2 linked regions of the Lonchura striata genome follow. The protein of the gene in region 2 purifies or fractionates together with the protein of the main gene of each other region. This does not show direct contact. Links are inferred from orthologs where the notes say so. Each region holds a gene or a part of one and is shown on either strand. Other genes may lie near its edges.

Region 1 (9,808 bases), on a different chromosome or scaffold from region 2:
GGGTGTCAGAACTCAACACTGACCCTCCCCTGTTTCCGTTCCAGGGTCCAACCCAGTCCTGCCCCCTCGGGGGTCCATAGATGGGGGACCCCAACCCCCAGAGGGGAATTTGGGGGGTTTTGGAGCCAGTCTGTGAATCCTGAGAAGATCCCAGGTAAATCCTCACCTGGAGGGGGAATTGTTCACTGGGGTGGGGGTCCCTGGGCTGGGACCCCCATTGGGGTGACCCCTGCAGGGACGATTTGGGGTAAATTTGGGGCTTTCCTGGTGATTTTGGGGTGTGGAGGCCCCCCAGGGGTGATGACCTCATGAATCTCGTTCGGCTGAAGCTGCTGCTGACAACCCCAGGCCTGACCGGGGGGGGCTTTTCCCCCTTATGGGGTCCCCAAATTCCCCGAGGACCCCCCTGACCCCCCTTGTGTTCCCTCCCTGCAGGTGACAATCCCAGGACACACCTGGAGCCAGGTATGTAAATGAGGGGGTGTGGCCTGACCCATGACATCACAGCCCCAGTTTTGGTGATGATGTCACTAGCTCACTTTGACCCCCCTGAAAACACCTGAACACCTGAAAAATTGGGGTGGGGGTCCCCGGGGGGGTCCTGGGGGGGAGGGGGCGCCCTAAAGCCCCTCCCCCCCTGCTGTCCCACAGGTGCGGCAGGAGCGGGGCTCAGGTGAGCCTGGGGGGGATTTTGGGGAGCGGGGAGGAGATTTGGGGTGTTGGGAGGGATTTGGGATTTCAGATTTTGAGCTTTGGAGAGCGGATTTGGGGTGTGGGTTTCAAATTCTATTTTGTGGGGAAGGGATTTGGGATTTACAAAACCATTTTGAGGTTTGGGGAGGAGATTTGGGATTTTGAGAGTCGATTTAGGGTGTGGAGAGGGATTTTGGAGAGTGGAGAAAGGATTTGGGGCTGTGAAGAGAAGACGTTGTGGTGAGGAACTTTGAGGTTTGGGGAGAAGATTTGGGGGGAGTTTTGAGGAAAGGATTTTGGGATGGTGAGGGGCCTCTGGGGGTTTGGCAGGAGGGATTTGGGGGACAGGATTTTGGGATTTAGGAGAGATTTGGGGTGTTTTTGGGGTCTCCCTGCCGAGGATGAGGCGATACCGCCCCAGACTGAGCCCTGTGACTGAGTGGTTCCCCCTGAGGCTCTGGGGGACCCCGGGGGTTTTGGGGGGTCCCAATGGGGGCTTGGGGGTCTCCTGGGTTCGGAACAGATTTTGGGTGATTTTTGAGGAGTTTGAAACCTTTTAACCCTTGAATTTCTTCCTGCAGTTCTTGGATCGTGGAAGTTCTACCAACATAAATAAAAACTGCTATTTTTGTTAAAAACATTGAATTTCTGCTTGTTTCTTATTTGGGGAGGAGGGACTGAGGGTGAGGGAATTGCGGAGGGGGGTCACACCTGAGCCCCTCTATGCTTTTAAAGGCTACAAAAACATCTCAGGAAGCCAAAATTCCGAATTTAAACTCATTTTTTGGATGATTTTGATAATTTCCAGGTCTCCTGTGCCCCAAAACCCCCCGGGCATGGAGGGGAGCCTCCCAAAGCTCCCCCAAACCCGCGGCGTCACCGTGGGGACCTGCTGGGGTGTTCTATGCAAATGAGAATGCTTATATGCTAATTGCACATGACGTAGCTTAAGGTTATGCTAATTGCGTTGGCGTCATGGCAAATAAGGCGCATGGCATGCAAATCGAGGTGCTCGATCGTCCAATCACATCACCAGAGGAACGCGGTGGGGCGGGGCTTCTAAGCGCAGGTGAAAGGCGGTGTTATGTAAATTGAAAAGGCGGGACAATGCAAATTAATCACAATGTTCAGCCAAGAGCATCATGGGAGCATAAATTTGGGGAGATTTTCGGGATTTTAGGGGTCCGTGTGTGAGAAGCGCGGGAGGGAAGCGCGGGACGGGGCGGGGAAGGCGGCCGGGAGCGGGGCCGGGCGGGGCGGCGGCGGCGCGGGGGTGTCCGTGAGGTGCGGGCGGGGCCGGTGCGGGTCCGGCGCGGGGCCGGGGCGGGGTCCGGTATCGCTTCTCGGCCTTTTGGCTAAGATCAAGTGTAGTATCTGTTCTTATCAGTTTAATATCTGATACGTCCTCGATGAGAGGACTTCATATTAAACGGATTTTTGGGCTCGGGAGTTGGACCCGGAGCTTGCTCCCTCCGCTCCGCGCATCGTGCCGGTATTGCAGTGCCTCCGGGAACGGTGCACCCCTCGGGGACCTGTGACGGTGAACAGCAGATGAGGAGATGCTTCGGGCGCGGCTCTGCGGCGGCAGCAGCCGCAGCGTCCCGGGATCGCGGCGCCTCCGGGAGCGGCGCGCCCGCCGGGAGCGTCACACGGTGGAAACTCACGATCGTGATTCCATCGCGATTGTCCCTTGGTGTCACCCCCAGCCGACGGGGACATCCCGGGGAACCGAGGGGCGGCACCCCACAGACCCCGGGACCCCCGCGTGTTTTGGGCAGGAGTGGAATTTGGGGGATCCCCCCCAGCCCCGTCGGGACCCCGCGGGTGTCACCGCCTGTCACCCTCCCGGTGAGCCCGGGGACACCCCGGTGCCCCGGGGGGGATTCGGGCTCCCCCCGGATCTGGGAGGGGTCCCCGACCCCCCCACACGCACTCGGGACAGGTTTTGGGGCGCTCGGAGCCGTTTCGGGGTTCGGGGTTCGGGATTTGGGTCAGGAGGGGCCGATTTGGGGCTTTTGGGGTCCCGCTGCCGCCCAGCCCCGAGCGCCTTGAGGGGAACGCGGGACCCCAATGGCGGCAGCGGCGGCGGCGGGGGGAATGCAAATGAGCGGGCGAAATTACCCTATTAGAGACGAGAGGCGGGGTTATGCTAATCACCAGCCGGCTGGAAAAGAGGCGGTGCCAATGCAAATAAAGCGGCGCAATCGGCCAATCACCATGCGAGGCGGGAATAATGGAGTGGGCGGGGCTATAAAACCACACTGCGAGTTTATTTGCATAAAGGGGCGGGGCTATGCACATTAACTGAACTTCCTCACAGCCGCGCAATGCATATTGGGAGCATTTTTTGGGAGATTTTTGGGATTTTAGGGGTCGCAAGGTGCCGGACCCGGGAGGGAAGCGCGGGATGGGACGGGGAAGGCGGCCGGGAGCGGGGCGGGCGCGGGGGAACCGAGGGGCGGCACCCCACAGACCCCGGGACCCCCGCGTGTTTGGGGCAGGGATGGAATTTGGGGGATCCCCCCCCAGCCCCGTCGGGACCCCGCGGGTGTCACCCCCTGTCACCCTCCCGGTGAGCCCGGGGACACCCCGGTGCCCCGGAGGGGATTCGGGCTCCCCCCGGATCTGGAAGGGGTCCCCGACCCCCCCCCACGCACCCGGGACAGGTTTTGGGGCGCTCGGAGCCGTTTCGGGGTTCGGGGTTCGGGATTTGGGTCAGGAGGGGCCGATTTGGGGCTTTTGGGGTCCCGCTGCCGCCCAGCCCCGAGCGCCTTGAGGGGAACGCGGGACCCCAATGGCGGCAGCGGCGGGGAGAATGCAAATGAGCGGGCGAAATTACCATATTAACGACGAAAGGCGGGGTTATGCTAATCATCCGCCTGCTGGAAAGGAGGCGGTGCCAATGCACATACAGCGGCGCGGGCGGCCAATCACAAAGCGAGGCGGGAAAAAATGCGATGGGCGGGGCTATGAAGCCACTATGCGATGCTATTTGCATAAAGGGGCGCGGTTATGCACATTTCCTGAGTCGCCACGCGCGCAGTGCATGCTGGGACGATTTTTTGGGGAGATTTTCGGGATTTTAGGGGCCGGTACGCGCCGAACGCGGGAGGGAAGCGCGGGACGGGGCGGGGAAGGCGGCCGGGAGCGGGGCCGGGCGGGGCGGCGGCGGCGCGGGGGTGTCCGTGAGGTGCGGGCGGGGCCGGTGCGCGGCCGGCGCGGGGCCGGAGCGGGATCCGGTATCGCTTCTCGGCCTTTTGGCTAAGATCAAGTGTAGTATCTGTTCTTATCAGTTTAATATCTGATACGTCCTCGATGAGAGGACTTCATATTAAACGGATTTTTGGGCTCGGGAGTTGGACCCGGAGCTTGCTCCCTCCGCTCCGCGCATCGTGCCGGTATTGCAGTGCCTCCGGGAACGGTGCACCCCTCGGGGACCTGTGCCGGTGAACAGCAGATGAGATGATCACAATCGCGGTTCCGTGGCGGCAGCAGCCTCGGCGCCTCCGGGAGCGGCGCGCCCGCCCGGTTCTGTTGTTGTAGATCAATAAATGCAGACCGCTCTGAGGGCTCGTGCCGGTTCTCCGGCCCCGGTTCGGTACCGGATCCGCCCCGCGGGAGCCCCGGGGCTCCGCTCCGCCCGTCGCGCCGCGAAATGGCGGCGCCTGCCCCTTCCTGAGGTTCAACTCCATCATTTCGGCGCTTTCCGGGTGAAAGCGGGGCTTGACGAGAATGATAATAAGTGTTAACGATGCTTAAAGAACGTACAAGGCGGTTTGAAGGGTTTTATTAAATGAATCAGTGAATTCACAACAGCGATAACGGGCGGGGGGGGCCACACGTTTCCTGGGGGAAACGCCTCCCACTCTCCGCCTCCGCGCTTCTTCCTCGCCGGGTTTCGTTTTTAAACGAAATAAATCTCGTTTATTTTCTGTATTTTAGGCGTTTTTAACCATTTTCCCGCGCCGGCGGCCCCGCTCGTCCCGCTTCACGCAGCAAAACAAAATGGCGGCGGGCGGGCGGGCGGGAAACTGCGCGTCAGGCGAGCGCCCCCCCCCCCCCCCCCCGCCAATCTTCACCCTCAGCCGCCAATCGGAGCGCGGCTTTTTCGCCGTCGCTGGGCAGAACAGAGCGGCCGCGGCCAATTAGAAAATCCGAGCGGCGTGGCGCGGCCGCTCGGAGGGAAGGGAGGGGAAGAGGCGCAAGAAGGGAAGAGGGGAAGAGGCGCCGCCGCCACATCGGGAGCGAGCGTTGCGCACGTAGGTGGGGCCGAGGGGGAAAGGGAGGGGAGAGCGGCGCGCGGCACGGCGCCTGCGCGCGGCGCGCGCCGCCCTTCCCGCGCACGCGCCGCGCCTGCGCCGTGAGGCGGCGCGGGAGGGGCCGGGCGGCGGCGCAGGCGCGGCTGAGGCGGCGGCGGCGGCGGCGGCGGCGGGAGCGGGACGGGCCCGGCGATCGCTCCGCGCTCCGGCCGCCCCCTGCCCTCCCTGCGGCGCTCCCGCGCGGCGCTCCCGCCTCGCGCTCTCGCTCGCTTCTCCCGCTCCCCGCTCCCCGTCCCTTCTCCGCCCCCTTCCTTCCGCCCCTGCCCTCCCCTCAGTCTCCGCCCCGCGGCCGCCTCAGGCCCGGCCCGGCCTCGCGCTCCGGCCTCGCCGCCGCCGCCGCCTCGGCGCGCCCGCGCTCCTTGCGCTTCCCTTCCCCTCCGTGCCCTCGCCCCCCGGCCCGTTCCCCGCGCGGCGGCCCCGCCATGGACGTGAAGCGGCTGAAGGTGACCGAGCTGCGGGCCGAGCTGGGCCGGCGCGGCCTGGACGCGCGCGGGCTGAAGGTGGAGCTGGCGCAGCGGCTGCAGGAGGCGCTGGACGCGGAGATGTTGGCGGCGGGGCCCGAGGAGGGCGGCGGCGGCGGCGGCGGCGGAGGAGGAGGAGGCGGCGGAGGAGCAGCGGCCGCCTCGAGCGGCGCCGCGGGGGAAGCGGGGCCGGCCGGAGGCCCCGGCGGGCGGCCCCGCGGAGAGGAGGAGGAGGAGGAGGAGGAGGAAGAGGAGGAGGAGGAGGAGGAGGAGGAGGAGGATGAAGAAGCGCTGCTCGCCGATGAGGACGAGGCGGCCGCCGCCGCCAGCGCGGCCCCCGAAGCGGCGGCCCCGGCCCCGGCCGGCCCCCCCCGGGAGGAGGAGGAGGAGGAGGAGGAGGAGGAGGAAGAGGCGGCCCCGGCCGAGCCCGCGGGGCCGGAGCCGCAGGAGCCGCAGGAGCCGCAGGAGCAGCAGGAGCAGCAGGAGCAGCAGGAGGCGGCGGCCGAGGCGGGAGCAGCAGCAGCAGCAGCAGCAGCAGCAGGAGGAGGAAGCGGCGGCGTGAACGGCGCCGAGCGGCCGCCCGAGGAGGCGCCCAGCGGGGATGAAGCGGCCCCGGCCGAGGCCAAGGAGGAGGAGGCGGCGGGTGAGCGGCGGGGACGGGAAGGGAGCCCCGGGAACGGGAGAGGAACAACGGGAACGGGAACGGGAGAGGAACAACGGGAACGGGAACGGGAGAGGAACAACGGGAACGGGAACGGGAGAGGAACAACGGGAACGGGAGCCCGGGAATGGGAAAGGAACCCTGGGAACAGGAACGGGATCCTCGGGAGCGATCCCCGGGAACGGGAGAGGAACAACGGGAACGGGAACGGGAGCCTTGGGAGCGATCCCCGGGAACGGGAAAGGAACACCGGGAACGAGAGCCCGGGAATGGGAAAGGGAACCGGGAACCGGGAACGAGACCCCGGGATCCTCGGGAGAGAGCCCCGGGAATGGGAGAGGAGCACCGGGAATGGGAAAGGAACCCCGGGAACGGGAACGGGAGAGGAACCCCGGGAACGAGAGCCCCGGGAACGGGAAAGGAGCACAGGGAATGGGAAAGGGAACCGGGAATGGGAAACGAGCCCCGGGAACGGGAAAGGAGCACCGGGAACCGGGAACGAGACCCCGGGAGACTCGGGAGCGATCCCCGGGAACGGGAACGGGAAAGGAACCCCGGGTACCGGGAACGAGACCCCGGCATGCTCGGGAGAGGAGCCCCGGGACCGGGAAAAGAGCCCCGGGATCCTCGGGAGGGATGAACGGGAACGGGACCCCGAGAATGAGAAAGGAACACCGGGAACCGGGAACGGGATCCTTGGGAGCGATCCCCGGGAACGGGAGAGGAACCCCCAGAACCGGGATAGAAACTCTGGGACCGGGAAAAGAAACCCCGGGACCGGGAAAGGAGCCCCGGGATCCTCGGGAGGGATGAACGGGAACGGGACCCCCGGGACCGGGATAAGAAACCCCCAGAACCGGGAAAGGAGCCCCGGGAGGGGCCCGCAAAGCTCGGGAGGGATCCCCAAAAATCGGGATAAAAACCGGGAAAGGCTCCGGGAGGGATCCCGAAAACTGGGATAAAAAACCCAAAATTGGGATAAAATCAGGATAAAATCTCATTTCCCACTAGAAAAATTGGGGATTTGGGGAAATTGGGGAAAACCATGAGGGGAAAAGTCCAGGTTTTTAAGGGATAAATTTGGGATGTGAGAAAATTCAGCTTTGGGAGGGAAAAATTCTGATTTTGGAGGGAAAATGTAGATTTTTGAGGGGAAATGTGGATTTTTGGAGAGAAAATCTGGATTTTTTTGAGGGAAAAAACTGGATTTTTTAAAGGGAAAATCCTGGCTTTTGATGGAAAATAGTGAATTTTTGATGGGAAAATCCTGGGATTTGAGGAAAAAAATTCTCATTTTGAAGGAAATAATCTGATTTTTGATGGGAAAAATCTGATTTGGGGAGGATTTGTAGAGCTTGGATCACCATGGGACGTAATTTTATTGGGAATAAAATGAAATTATTTGCATTTTGTCCCAAACTTTGATTTTTTTGGGATAAGAGCTGGAAAATTTCCATTGCAGGACATTGAGAAAATATAACTTGGATTTTCTGGGAATATTTGCACTTGTTGGATTTTTGGGGATTTTTTTGGCCAAGCAAAGGGAAAAACTGAGAATTTTTTGTGTTTCCTTGGATTTTCCTGTTGGATTTTTTCTTTTTTTTTTCCTTTGGATTTTCCAGTTTTTAGTGAACCAATGGATTTTGAGCCGGAATTTTATCTTTTTCGTGAAAAATCCCAGGGGAATTTGACTTTTTTTTGAGGAAAATTCATTCAAACCCCAAGAATTTCACAAAATTTAATTCATTTTTAAGGAAAAAAATAAGAATTTTACGCACTTTTCACGACTCTAAAAACTGGGAAAATCCAAAATCTTAATGGAAAGCTTTGATTGAAGGAATTTTTGAGGAAAAAAATCTGAATTTTAACGGCATTTCATCCTTCAAATCCTGGAGAAATCCATTAAAGCTCCAAGATTTTAATGGAAGACTCAGCTTTAATTTGATGTTTAAGGGGGAAAAAAAGAAATTTCAACCGGTTTTTGTCCCTGCAAATCTGAAATTTCGTTAAAATTCCCAAATTTCCCAGGAATTTTTGATTTAATTTACTTTGAGGAGATTTTAATCTTTCTAAAACCAAAAATTCCCGTTAAACCTTTGCCATTCTCATGGAATATTTGGTTTAAATTCAACTTTTAACAAAAAAACCCAAATACATCTGAATTTTAACCGTTTTTTTTCCAGGAAATTGGGTTTCTTGGGAATAGCTGAGATATTTTGGGGTGAAATCAGTAAAATTAGGGATTTTTTTTGGTCTGAAATCAGTAAAATCACGGATTTTTTGCAGTGAAATCAGTAAAATTGGGGATTTTTGGGATGAAATTTGTAAAATCAGTAAAATTGGCTTTTTTGGGGTAAAATCGGTTTTTTTTCAGGGTGAAATCAGTAAAATCAGGATTTTTTGGAATGTCTTGGGATAAAATCAGGGATTTTTTGGGATTAAATAAGTAAAATAATGATCTTTTGGGGGTGAAATCAGTAAAATCAGGGATTTTTGGGGATGCTTTGGGATAAAATCAGGGATTTTTTTGGGTAAAATTGGTGAAATCAGTAAAATCAGGGATTTTTGGGGTAAAATCAGGGATTTTGGGAGGTTAAATCATTAAAATCTGGGATATTTTTGGGGTGAATTCGGTAAAATCAGGGATTTTTGGGGTAAAATCAGGGATCTTTTGGGGCTGTGTTGGGGTAAAATCAGGGATATTTTGGAATAAAATCAGGGATCTTCTGGGGTGAAATCTGGGATACTTTAGAGTGAAACCAGGGGTTTTTTGGGGTTAAACTGGGGCTGGTTTGGGTTAAACCCAGTTGGTTTGGGTTAAACCCGGCCTGCTTTGGGGCTGGTTTGGGTTAACCCGGGTTGTTTTGGGGCTGGTTTGGGTTAAACCAGGCCTGGTCTGGGTTAACCCGGGTTGGTTTGGAGCTGGTCTGGGTTAAACCCAGGCTGGTTTGGGCTGGTTTGGGTTAAACCCGGGTTGGTTTGGGGCTGGTCTGGGTTAACCCGGGTTGTTTTGGGGCTGGTCTGGGTTAACCCGGGTTGTTTTGGGGCTGGTTTGGGGTGGTTTGGGTTAACCCAGGCTGGTTTGGGGCTAGTTTGGGCTGGTTTGGGTTGATCCAGGCCTGGTGTGGGTTAACCCGCCTGTCCTGCCTGTCCAGGTGAGGAGGAGGAGGACAAGGCCAGGGCTGGTTTGGGTTAAACTCGGGCTGTTTTGGGGCTGGTTTGGGCTGGTTTGGGCTGGTTTGGGTTAACCCAGGCTGGTTTGGGGCTGGTTTGGGCTGGTTTGGGTTAACCCAGGCTGTTTTGGGGCTGGTTTGGGCTGGTTTGGGCTGGTTTGGGTTAACCCAGGCTGGTTTGGGTTGATCCAGGCCTGGTGTGGGTTAACCCGCCTGTCCTGCCCGTGCAGGTGAGGAGGAGGAGGACAAGGCCAGGGCTGGTTTGGGTTAACCCAGGCTGGTTTGGGGCTGGTTTGGGCTGGTTTGGGTTAACCCAGGCCTGGTCTGGGTTAACCCGCCTGTCCTGCCCGTGCAGGTGAGGAGGAGGAGGACAAGGCCAAGGCTGGTTTGGGTTAAACTCGGGCTGTTTTGGGGCTGGTTTGGGTTAACCCAGGCTGGTTTGGGTTAACCCAGGCTGGTTTGGGGCTGGTTTGGGCTGGTTTGGGTTAACCCAGGCCTGGT
Region 2 (10,195 bases):
CCAGCCCTGAACCCCCCCAGACCCAAAACGAGACCCCCAATCCAGCCCTGACCCCCCCTGGACCCAAAATGAGACTCCAAACCCAGCCCTGAACCCCCCCAGACCCAAAATGAGACTCCAATCCAGCCCTGGACCCCCCCAGACCCAAAATGTGACCCCCAATCCAGCCCTGAGCCCCCCCAGACCCAAAATAAGACTCCAAACCCAGCCCTGAACCCCCCCAGACCCAAAACGAGACCCCCCAATCCAGCCCTGAACCCCCCCAGACCCAAAACGAGACCCCCAATCCAGCCCTGATCCCCCCCAGACCCAAAACGAGACCCCCAAACCCAGCCCTGATCCCCCCCACACCCAAAACGAGACCCCCAATCCAGCCCTGAACACCCCCAGACCCAAAACGAGACCCCCAAACCCAGCCCTGATCCCCCCCAGACCCAAAACGAGACCCCCAATCCAGCCCTGAACCCCCCTGGACCCCCAGGGATTTAAAACGAGACCCCCAAACCCAGCCCTGAACCCCCCCAGACCCAAAACGAGACCCCCAAATCCAGCCCTAGACCCCCCCGGCCCACCTGAGCCCGAGGTGGCAGCGTTTAACCCCACAAAAACACTTTTTTTTGGGTTTTAACCCCTCAAAAAACACATTTCTGGCACCAAACCCTGCTGGGAGTCCCACCAGACTTCTCTAACCCCACCACAACACCCCAAACCCCGCTGACACCCCCAAAACGCCATTTCTGGCACCAAACTCTGCTGAGAATCCCTCCAAACTGTATTTTTTGGGCTTTTAACCCAACAAAAAAGCATTTTCTGGGGTTTTAACCCCCCAAAAACGCATTTCCAGCACCAAACTCTGCTGAGTGTCCCTCCAAAAACCATTTTTTGGGGTTTTAAATCCCCATAATTCAATTTCTGGCCCCAAGCTCTGGTGAGAGTCCCTCCAAACACCATTTTTTGATGTTTCAACCTGCCAAAAACGCCGTTTCTGGCCCCAAACTCTCCAGACGTCCCCACAGACCCCTTCATAACCCCCCAGAGACCCCCTCCCTGAGCCCCATGGAGCCCCCCAAAGTCCCATGGAGCCCCCCAGAGCCCTGTGGAGCCCCCAGACCCCATCCCTGAGACCCCCTGAGCCCCCCAAAGCCCCCCCAGAGCCCCGTGGAGCCCCCCAGAGCCCCCCCAGAGTCCCATGGAGCCCCTCAGAGCCCCCAGACCCCATCCCTGAGACCCCCAGAGCCCCGTGGAGCCCCCAAGAGCCCCCAAACCCCATCCCTGAGACCCCCAAAGCCCCCCCAGAGCCCCGTGGAGCCCCTCAAGAGCCCCCAAACCCCATCCCTGAGCCCCACGGAGCCCTCCAAAGCCCCCCCAGAGTCCCATGGAGCCCCCAGACCCCATCCCTGAGACCCCCTGAGCCCTCCAAAGACTCACCAGAGCCCCGTGGAGCCCCCCAAAGCCCCCCCAGAGTCCCCTGGAGCCCCTCAGAGCCCCCAGACCCCATCCCTGAGCCCCACGGAGCCCCCCAAAGCCCCCCCAGAGTCCCATGGAGTCCCCAAACCCCATCCCTGAGACCCCCAGAGCCCCGTGGAGCCCCTCAGAGCCCCCAAACCCCATCCCTGAGCCCCCCACTCACCGTCAGCCCCTTGCGCTTGTGGCAGGACTCCCAGGGCTGCGGCTCCAGCAGCAGCAGGAGCCCCCCAAAGCCCCCCCAGAGCCCCGTGGAGCCCCTCAGAGCCCCCAAACCCCATCCCTGAGCCCCCCAGAGCCCCCCACTCACCGTCAGCCCCTTGCGCTTGCGGTAGGACTCCCAGGGCTGCGGCTCCAGCAGCAGCAGCCCGCCGGGCCGCAGGTGCCGGAACGCCCTCCGGAAGAGCCGCTTGAGCCCCTCGTCGCCCCAGTTGAGCTGCACCCACTTGGTGAGGGACAGCAGCAGCACCACGTCGAACTCGGGGCGCTGCGCCCCCACCACCTCCTCCCGCTCCGGCACGTAGTTCCCCTGCGGAGGGGTGGGCTCAGCCTGGGGCTGGGGGCAGCCCCGGGGGGGTTTGGGGGGTCTGACAGGGTGGGGGGCTCGGGGTCAGCCCCACTGAGGAGGTTTTGGGGGTCTGACAGGGTGGGGGGCTCGGGGTCAGCCCCACTGAGGGGTTTTGGGGGGTCTGAGGGGGTGGGGGGCTCGGGGTCAGCCCCTCTTGGGGGGTTTGGGGGTGTCTGAGGGGGTGGGGGGCTCGGGCTGTGCCCCACTGAGGAGGTTTGGGGGGGTCTGAGGGGCTCGGGGTCAGCCCCACTGAGGGGTTTTGGGGGTGTCTGAGGGGGTGGGGGGCTTGGGCTGTGCCCCACTGAGGAGGTTTGGGGGGTCTGACAGGGTGGGGGGCTCGGGGTCAGCCCCACTGAAGAGGTTTGGGGGGTCTGACAGGGTGGGGGGCTCGGGGTCAGCCCCACTGAAGAGGTTTGGGGGGTCTGACAGGGTGGGGGGCTCGGGGGCAGCCCCACTGAGGGGTTTTGGGGGTCTGACAGGGTGGGGGGCTCGGGCTGTGCCCCACTGTGGGGTTTTGGGGGGTCTGACAGGGTGGGGGGCTCGGGGGCAGCCCCACTGAGGGGTTTTGGGGGGTCTGAGGGAGTGGGGGGCTCGGGGTCAGCCCCTCTTGGGGGGTTTGGGGGTGTCTGAGGGGGTGGGGGGCTCGGGCTGTGCCCCACTGAGGAGGTTTTGGGGGTGTCTGAGGGGGTGGGGGGCTTGGGCTGTGCCCCACTGAGGAGGTTTGGGGGGTCTGACAGGGTGGGGGGCTCGGGGTCAGCCCCACTGAGGAGGTTTGGGGGGTCTGACAGGGTGGGGGGCTCGGGGGCAGCCCCTCTGGGGGGGTTTGGGGGGTCTGACAGGGTGGGGGGATCGGGGGCAGCCCCACTGAGGAGGTTTTGGGGGGTCTGACAGGGTGGGGGGCTCGGGCTGTGCCCCACTGAGGGGTTTTGGGGGGTCTGACAGGGTGGGGGGCTCGGGGTCAGCCCCACTGAGGGGTTTTGGGGGGTCTGACAGGGTGGGGGGCTCGGGGTCAGCCCCACTGAGGGGTTTTGGGGGGAGCTGCCCCACACAGACCCCAAGACTGGAATTGGGGAGGGGGTCCTGCACCACTCTGATCTCCTGGTGACCCCTTCAGACCCACCGAGACCCCCCAAAAACATCCCTGACGTCCCTTTCACAGCCTCCAAGACCTCCCAAAACCCCCCAAACCCCCACACACCCCCTCAGACCCGCCCAGACCCCCCTAAAACATCCCTCATGTCCCTTTCAGACTCTCCAAGACTCCCCAAATCCCCTCCAAGCCCCCCCAAATGCTTGTCACTCCCTTAACGCCACCGAGACCCCCCTAAAACACACCAAAAACCCACCAAAATCCCTTGCCAACCCCCTCAGAGCGACCCAGACCCCCCCCAAACCCACACCAAAACCCTGCTCGCACCCCCCAGCACCTCGCCCACCCACCCCACCCCCGTTTCCCCACCCAAAACCCCCCCTCACCGTGACGAACACCACGTTGTGCGGGAAATCCGCGGCGCCGGGCCCGTCGGGCGGCAGCTGCGGGGCGGCGATGGGGCCCCGGCTGGCCAGGAGCGCGGCGGGGAAACCTTTCCTGAGCCCGGCGGCGGCCTCGCCGTCCGCCCCCAGCCCCTCGGAGAGGTAGTGGCGGATGTTCTGCCGCGCCGAGCGGATCAGCCGCCCGTCAATGTCCAGCCCCACCACCCTGGCGGGCGCCCAGCGCTTGGCGATGCTCAGGGTGAGGTGCCCCACGTTGCAGCCCACGTCCAGCACCTCCTTGCCCGCGAACCACTCGGGCCGCAGCGCCCGCAGCCGCGCGTCCTCCACGTCGGGGTTGCGGTACCCGTAATATTTGCAGTAATTCCCGTACTGGAACTTGCGCGCCTGGCGGCGCGGCCGCTGCGGGGCTTTGCCGCCGGGTTTCGGTTTTTCCGAGGGCGCGGCGGGGCGCGGAGGGTCGGATTTGCTGCAAGTCCGTCGGCGCTTGCGGTGGCGGCCGGCGGGGCACGGCGGGGCGGCGGGCTCGGCGGGGCGGCCGGGCTCCTCGGCGCCGGCGGCGCTGTTGGCGGCGTTGTTGCGCTGCTGGCCGCGGTGCCGGTGCCGCCGCCGGGCGCTCTTGGCCGGCGAGGCCAGGCGGAGCGCCTCGCCCGGCGCGTTCAGGCTCAGCGGGTCCGTGATGTCCCTCGGCACCAGGATCTCCACCGGGTCCCGGCCGCGCTGCGGCAGCGGGGAGGACTGCGGCGTGCGGGCGTTCAGGGCGCGGCTCACCTCCTCGTCCAGCAGGCTGTTGAGGTTCAGGGGGTCGAAGATGTTCCCGCCGAGCAGGAACTCGGACGGCAGCACCGGGCCGCACTCCGAGGCCGCGCGGCGCCGCCGCTTCCACGCCGGCTGCTTGGCGCCGCAGCTGCTCCGCCGCTTGCCGCCGCCGCCCGCGGTGCGGAGGCCATTGCGGGGCCGCGGCGGCTCCGGTGCGGCGGCGGCGGGAGGAGGAGGAGGAGGCGGAGGAGGCGGCGGCGGCGGCGGCACCAGGAAGGCCTCAGGCGCCGCCGCCATGGCGGCCCGGCCCGCGCCTGCGCGCTGCGCCGCGCCGCCCCCGCGCATGCGCCGCCGGAGCGGGGAGGGGGAGCGGGAACCCTCCGCTCCCGCCGCCTCCCGCCCGCGATGGCAGCGCCGCGCCGGCCCGCCGGGGTTTATATAGGGGAGAGGCGGGGCCCGCAGAGGGCACGCCCACGAGGAGGGGCGGGGAGACGGGGCTCGGCCAATAGGAGACGGAGCGCGGCGCGCGGCGGCCAATAAGGAGAGGCGGCGCGCGGGGAGAGGGAAAGGGGGGCCTCAGGAGGTGGGGGTGGCCGCGGAGAGTGCCTGCGCGGAGAGCAGCGGGGGAGGGGAGGAGGAGGGAGCGGGAGGGATCCCGGTGAAGGCCTGGGGGGAGGGAGAGCGGCGGGGATGGGACGGGGGAGGGTGGGCGGCCGGAAAGACGTTCAGGCGGGGTGAGGCCGCCCCGCGCGCGCGGGGGCTGCCGGGACTTGTAGTCCGCGCGGGGGCCGCTCGTGCGCGGTGCGCGCTCCTTCTCCCCACACCCACACAGACACACAGAGCCCCTCCCGTTCCAGCGCCGGTCTCTCCTCGGCCCCTTTCGGCCGAGCTGCTCACGTCACCGTTCACGCTCGTGACGTCACCGTTCCCGTTAGTGACGTCACCGAACCGGGTCTCTCTCTCCCCGCCCCACCCGCCCCGGTAACGGGGAGGGGGCGCGCGCGCTCTCGCGCGGCTCTCGCGAGGTTTCGAGCCCCCCCAGCGCCCGTCCCGCGCGCCCCTCGCCGGTCACGCGCCCGCGCGCCTGCGCGGTACCGCCCCCCCCCCCCCCCCCCCCCGTCCCGGCACGTGCCGCGCGCGCGCCTCGCCCCCCCCCCCCCCCCCCCGGGACCCCTCACGCGGGTCACGTGACCGGGCGCGCGGGAAGAGCCGCTCTTTATTTTTTATTTTTTATTGTATTTTATTTTATTGGGTTTTTTTGGGGGGGGGAGGGAGGCGCTAAAAACGCCGAAATCGGGGCACGAACCCCGCCCACAGCGACCCCCGCCACCCACGCACGGGCCCCCCCACCCAGCCCCTCATGAAGGGGTCTGGGGTCCTCCTCACGAAGGGTTTTGGGGTCCCCCTCAAGATGGGGTTTGGGGTCCCCCTCATGAAGGGGGTTTGGGGTCCCCTCAGCCCCTCTCGATGGGGTTTTGGGGTCCCCTTCACCCCCTCATGAAGGGGTTTGGGGTCCCCCTCATGATGGGGTTTGGGGTCCCCCTCATGAAGGGGTTTTGGGGTCCCCATCACCCCCTCATGAAGGATTTTGGGGTCCCCTCAGCCCCTCAAGATGGGGTTTTGGGGTCCCCATCACCCCCCCATGATGGGGTTTGGGGTCCCCCTCATGATGGGGTTTTGGGGTCCCCTCAGCCCCTCACGATGGGTTCTGGGTCCCCTCAGCCCCTCATGAAGGACTTTGGGGTCCCCTCAGCCCCTCTCGATGGGGTTTTGGGGTCCCCATCACCCCCTCATGAAGGGTTTTGGGGTCCCCCTCATGATGGGGTTTGGGGTCCCCCTCATGATGGGGTTTTGGGGTCCCCTCAGCCCCTCTCGATGGGTTCTGGGTCCCCTCAGGGACACTTGCGCTCCACGCACTGCTTGCCGCCCTCCTCGTACTCCTGCTTGGAGATCCACATCTGCTGGAAGGTGCCCTGCGATTTGGGGCGGTTTGGGGTGATTTGGGGTGGTTTGGGATGGTTTGGGGGGTTCAGAGGCAGTTTGGGGGGTTCAGGGGGCGGTTTGGGGTGATTTGGGGCAGATTGGGGCAATTCAGGGTGTTCAGGAGGCAGTTTGGGGTGGTTTGGGGCAGTTTGGGGTGTTCATGGGGCACTTTGAGGTGGTTTGGGGCGGTTTGGGGGGTTCAGGGGATGGTTTGGGGCGGTTTGGGGGGTTCAGGGGGCAGTTTGGGGGGTTCAGGGGGCAGTTTGCGGCAGTTTGGGGGGTTCAGGGGATGGTTTGGGGCAGTTTGGGGGGTTCAGGGGGCAGTTTGGGGGGTTCAGGGGATGGTTTGGGGCAGTTTGGGGAGTTCAGGGGATGGTTTGGGGGGTTCAGGGGATGGTTTGGGGGGTTCAGGGGGCAGTTTGGGGGGTTCAGGGGATGGTTTCGGGGGTTCAGGGGATGGTTTGGGGGGTTCAGGGGGCAGTTTGGGGGATTCAGGGGATGGTTTGGGGCAGTTTGGGGGGTTCAGGGGATGGTTTGGGGGGTTCAGGGGATGGTTTGGGGGGTTCAGGGGATGGTTTGGGGCAGTTTGGGGGTTCAGGGGCAGCGAAGCCCCCCGGGCTCCCCGGGACCCCCGACTCACGAGCGAGGCCAGGATGGAGCCGCCGATCCAGGGGCTGAAGCGCCGCTCCATGGTGCTGTTGCTGGCGATCAGCTTGAGGCGCATGCTCTGGGACAGGGCGTCACTGGGAGCACTGGGAGAACTGGGAGAACTGGGGGCAACTGGGGGGACAGCTATGAACCACTGGGAGCCACTGGGAATGACTGGAGGGACAGCTATGAACCACTGGGGGCAACTGGGAATGACTGGGGGGACAGCTATGAACCACTGGGGGCAACTGGGAATGACTGGGAGCCACTGGGAATGACTGGAGGGACAGCTATGAACCACTGGGGGCAACTGGGAATGACTGGGAGCAACTGGGGGGACAGCTATGAACCACTGGGAGCCACTGGGAATGACTGGGAGCAACTGGGGGGACAGCTATGAACCACTGGGAGCAACTGGAATGACTGGGAGCAACTGGGGGGGACAGCTATGAACCACTGGGGGCAACTGGGAATGACTGGAGGGACAGCTATGAACCACTGGGAGCAACTGGAATGACTGGGAGCAACTGGGGGGGACAGCTATGAACCACTGGGGGCAACTGGGAATGACTGGAGGGACAGCTATGAACCACTGGGGGCAACTGGGAATGACTGGGAGCAACTGGGAATGACTGGGGGGACAGCTATGAACCGCTGGGAGGAACTAGGAATTACTGGGAGCAACTGGGAATGACTGGGAACAACTGGGGGGACAGCTATGAACCACTGGGGGCAACTGGGAATTACTGGGGGGACAGCTATGAACCACTGGGGGCAACTGGGAATGACTGGGGGCAACTGGGAATGACTGACAGCAACTGGGAATGACTGGGAATGACTGGGGGGACAGCTATGAACCACTGGGGGCAACTGGGAATGACTGGGGGCAACTGGGAATGACTGACAGCAACTGGGAATACTGGGAACAACTGGGGGGACAGCTATGAACCACTGGGGGCAACTGGGGAGCACTGGGAGAACTGGGGGCAACTGGGAGAACTGGGGGGACAGCTATGAACCACTGGTCCCAAACTCGGGGGTCCCTCACGGGGGGGTTTGGGGTCCCCCAGCCCCCAGCCCCAATTCGGGTCCCTCACTGGGGGTTTGGGAGCCCCCAGCCCCAATTCGGGTCCCTCACCGGGGGGTTTGGGAGCCCCCAGCCCCCAGCCCCAATTCGGGTGCCTCACCGGGGGGTTTGGGAGCCCCCAGCCCCCAGCCCCAATTCGGGTGCCTCACCGGGGGGTTTGGGAGCCCCCAGCCCCCAGCCCCAATTCGGGTGCCTCACCGGGGGCGTTTTCTGGGCCAGCTCGCGGTTCAGGCGGTCGGTGAAGCCCTGCAGCAGCGTGTTCCCCCCGGTGACAATGACGCTGCCGTACAGCCCCTGGGGGGGACACGGACACGGGGGGTCACCCGCGGGATTCGGGGGTGTCCCCGCCGCCCCCCGGGACCCCCGGGACCCCCGCCCGGACCCACCGGCCGGATGTCGATGTCGCACATCCCGATGCTGGTGGTCACCACGTGCCCCACGCCCAGCATGGTGTTCCCCGAGAGGCCCTGGGGGAACGGGGGGGTCAGGGGGGTCCCCAAAACCCCCGGGACCCCCCTGGACCTCCCTAAACCCCCCAAAAACCCTGGGATCCCCTCTGGGACCTCCCTAACCCCCCCAAAAACCCCCGGGACCCCCCTGATCCCCCCCAAAAACCCCCGGGACCCCCTGATCCCCCCCAAAAACCCCCGGGATCCCCCTGATCCCCCCAAAAACCCCCGGGACCCCCTGATCCCCCCCAAAAACCCCCGGGATCCCCCTGATCCCCCCCAAAAACCCCCGGGACCCCATGATCCCCCCCAAAAACCCCCGAGACCCCCTGATCCCCCCCAAAAACCCCGCTGAGAACCCTCAAACCCAAAGGAAGGCAGAACCTGGGGCGTGGGGGTCCCCTAAAGCCCCCCAGGACCCCCAAAACCCCCTCAGAGCCCCCCCAGGACCCCCAAAACCCCCTCAGAGCCCCCCCAGGACCCCCAAAACCCCCTCAGAGCCCCCCCAGGACCCCCAAAACCCCCTCAGAGCCCCCCCCAGGACCCCCCAAACCCCCTCAGAGCCCTCCCAGGACCCCCAAACCCCCTCAGAGGACCCCAAAACCCCCTCAGAGCCCCCCAGGACCCCTCAAAACCCCCTCAGAGCCCCCCCAGGACCCCCAAACCCCCTCAGAGGACCCCCAAACCCCCTCAGAGCCCCCCCAGGACCCCCAAACCCCCTCAGAGGACCCCAAAACCCCCTCAGAGCCCCCCCAGGACCCCCAAACCCCCTCAGAGGACCCCCAAACCCCCTCAGAGCCCCCCAGGACCCCCAAAACCCCCTCAGAGCCCCCCCAGGACCCCCCAAACCCCCTCAGAGCCCTCCCAGGACCCCCAAACCCCCTCAGAGGACCCCAAAACCCCCTCAGAGCCCCCCCAGGACCCCTCAAAACCCCCTCAGAGCCCCCCCAGGACCCCCAAACCCCCTCAGAGGACCCCCAAACCCCCTCAGAGCCCCCCCAGGACCCCCAAACCCCCTCAGAGGACCCCAAAACCCCCTCAGAGCCCCCCCAGGACCCCCAAACCCCCTCAGAGGACCCCCAAACCCCCTCAGAGCCCCCCCAGGACCCCCAAAACCCCCTCAGAGCCCCCCCAGGACCCCCCAAACCCCCTCAGTGGACCCCCAAAACCCCCTCAGAGCCCCCCCAGGACCCCCAAACCCCCTCAGAGGACCCCCAAACCCCCTCAGAGCCCCCCCAGGACCCCCAAACCCCCTCAGAGCCCCTCCCAGGACCCCCAAACCCCCTCAGTGGACCCCAAAACCCCCTCAGAGCCCCCCCAGGACCCCCAAACCCCCCCGGGACCCCCGAACCTTGACGTTGGAGGGGTCGAAGAGCCCCTCGGGGATGCGGAGCCGCTCGGCGCCGTAGTCGGTGTTGTACCCGTTGGGCATCTCGTAGTGCACCGTGGGCATCTGCGCCGCCACCCTGGGGGACACGGGCGGGTTTCGGGGTCCCCCCGCCCCAAAAAAACCCCCTCACCCCAAAAAAACCCCCCCAAAGCCCCGGCGCTCACTGCTCGTCGTAGGGCGAGTCCGACACCTGCAGCACCGAGGCCTGGAAGTCCTGGATCACCTCCTGGGGGAACGGCAGCCCAAAAAGGGGGTCGGGACCCCCAAATCCCCCTCGGGACCCCCCGAAATCCCCCCCGGGACCCCCAGATCCGCCCCCGGGCCCCCCGCTCACGTTGCAGGTGAAGTTGTGCCAG

The links.
Region 1: the proteins of MEPCE (region 2) and HNRNPUL2 purify together in Homo sapiens (affinity purification with mass spectrometry; 3 studies listed by BioGRID and IntAct, with this or other methods). This does not show direct contact. The link is inferred for Lonchura striata from reciprocal best matches to the Homo sapiens genes MEPCE and HNRNPUL2.

The regions. Positions count from the first base shown.
Region 1 is NC_134638.1:166,637-176,444, reverse strand, and holds the start of HNRNPUL2 (heterogeneous nuclear ribonucleoprotein U-like protein 2), read left to right. Parts: upstream 1-5,310; 5' UTR 5,311-5,434; coding exon 5,435-6,116; intron 6,117-9,808.
Region 2 is NC_134636.1:1,369,561-1,379,755, forward strand, and holds the start of MEPCE (7SK snRNA methylphosphate capping enzyme), read right to left. Parts: upstream 4,580-10,195; coding exon 3,509-4,579; intron 1,994-3,508; coding exon 1,775-1,993; intron 1-1,774. UniProt on the Homo sapiens protein: S-adenosyl-L-methionine-dependent methyltransferase that adds a methylphosphate cap at the 5'-end of 7SK snRNA (7SK RNA), leading to stabilize it.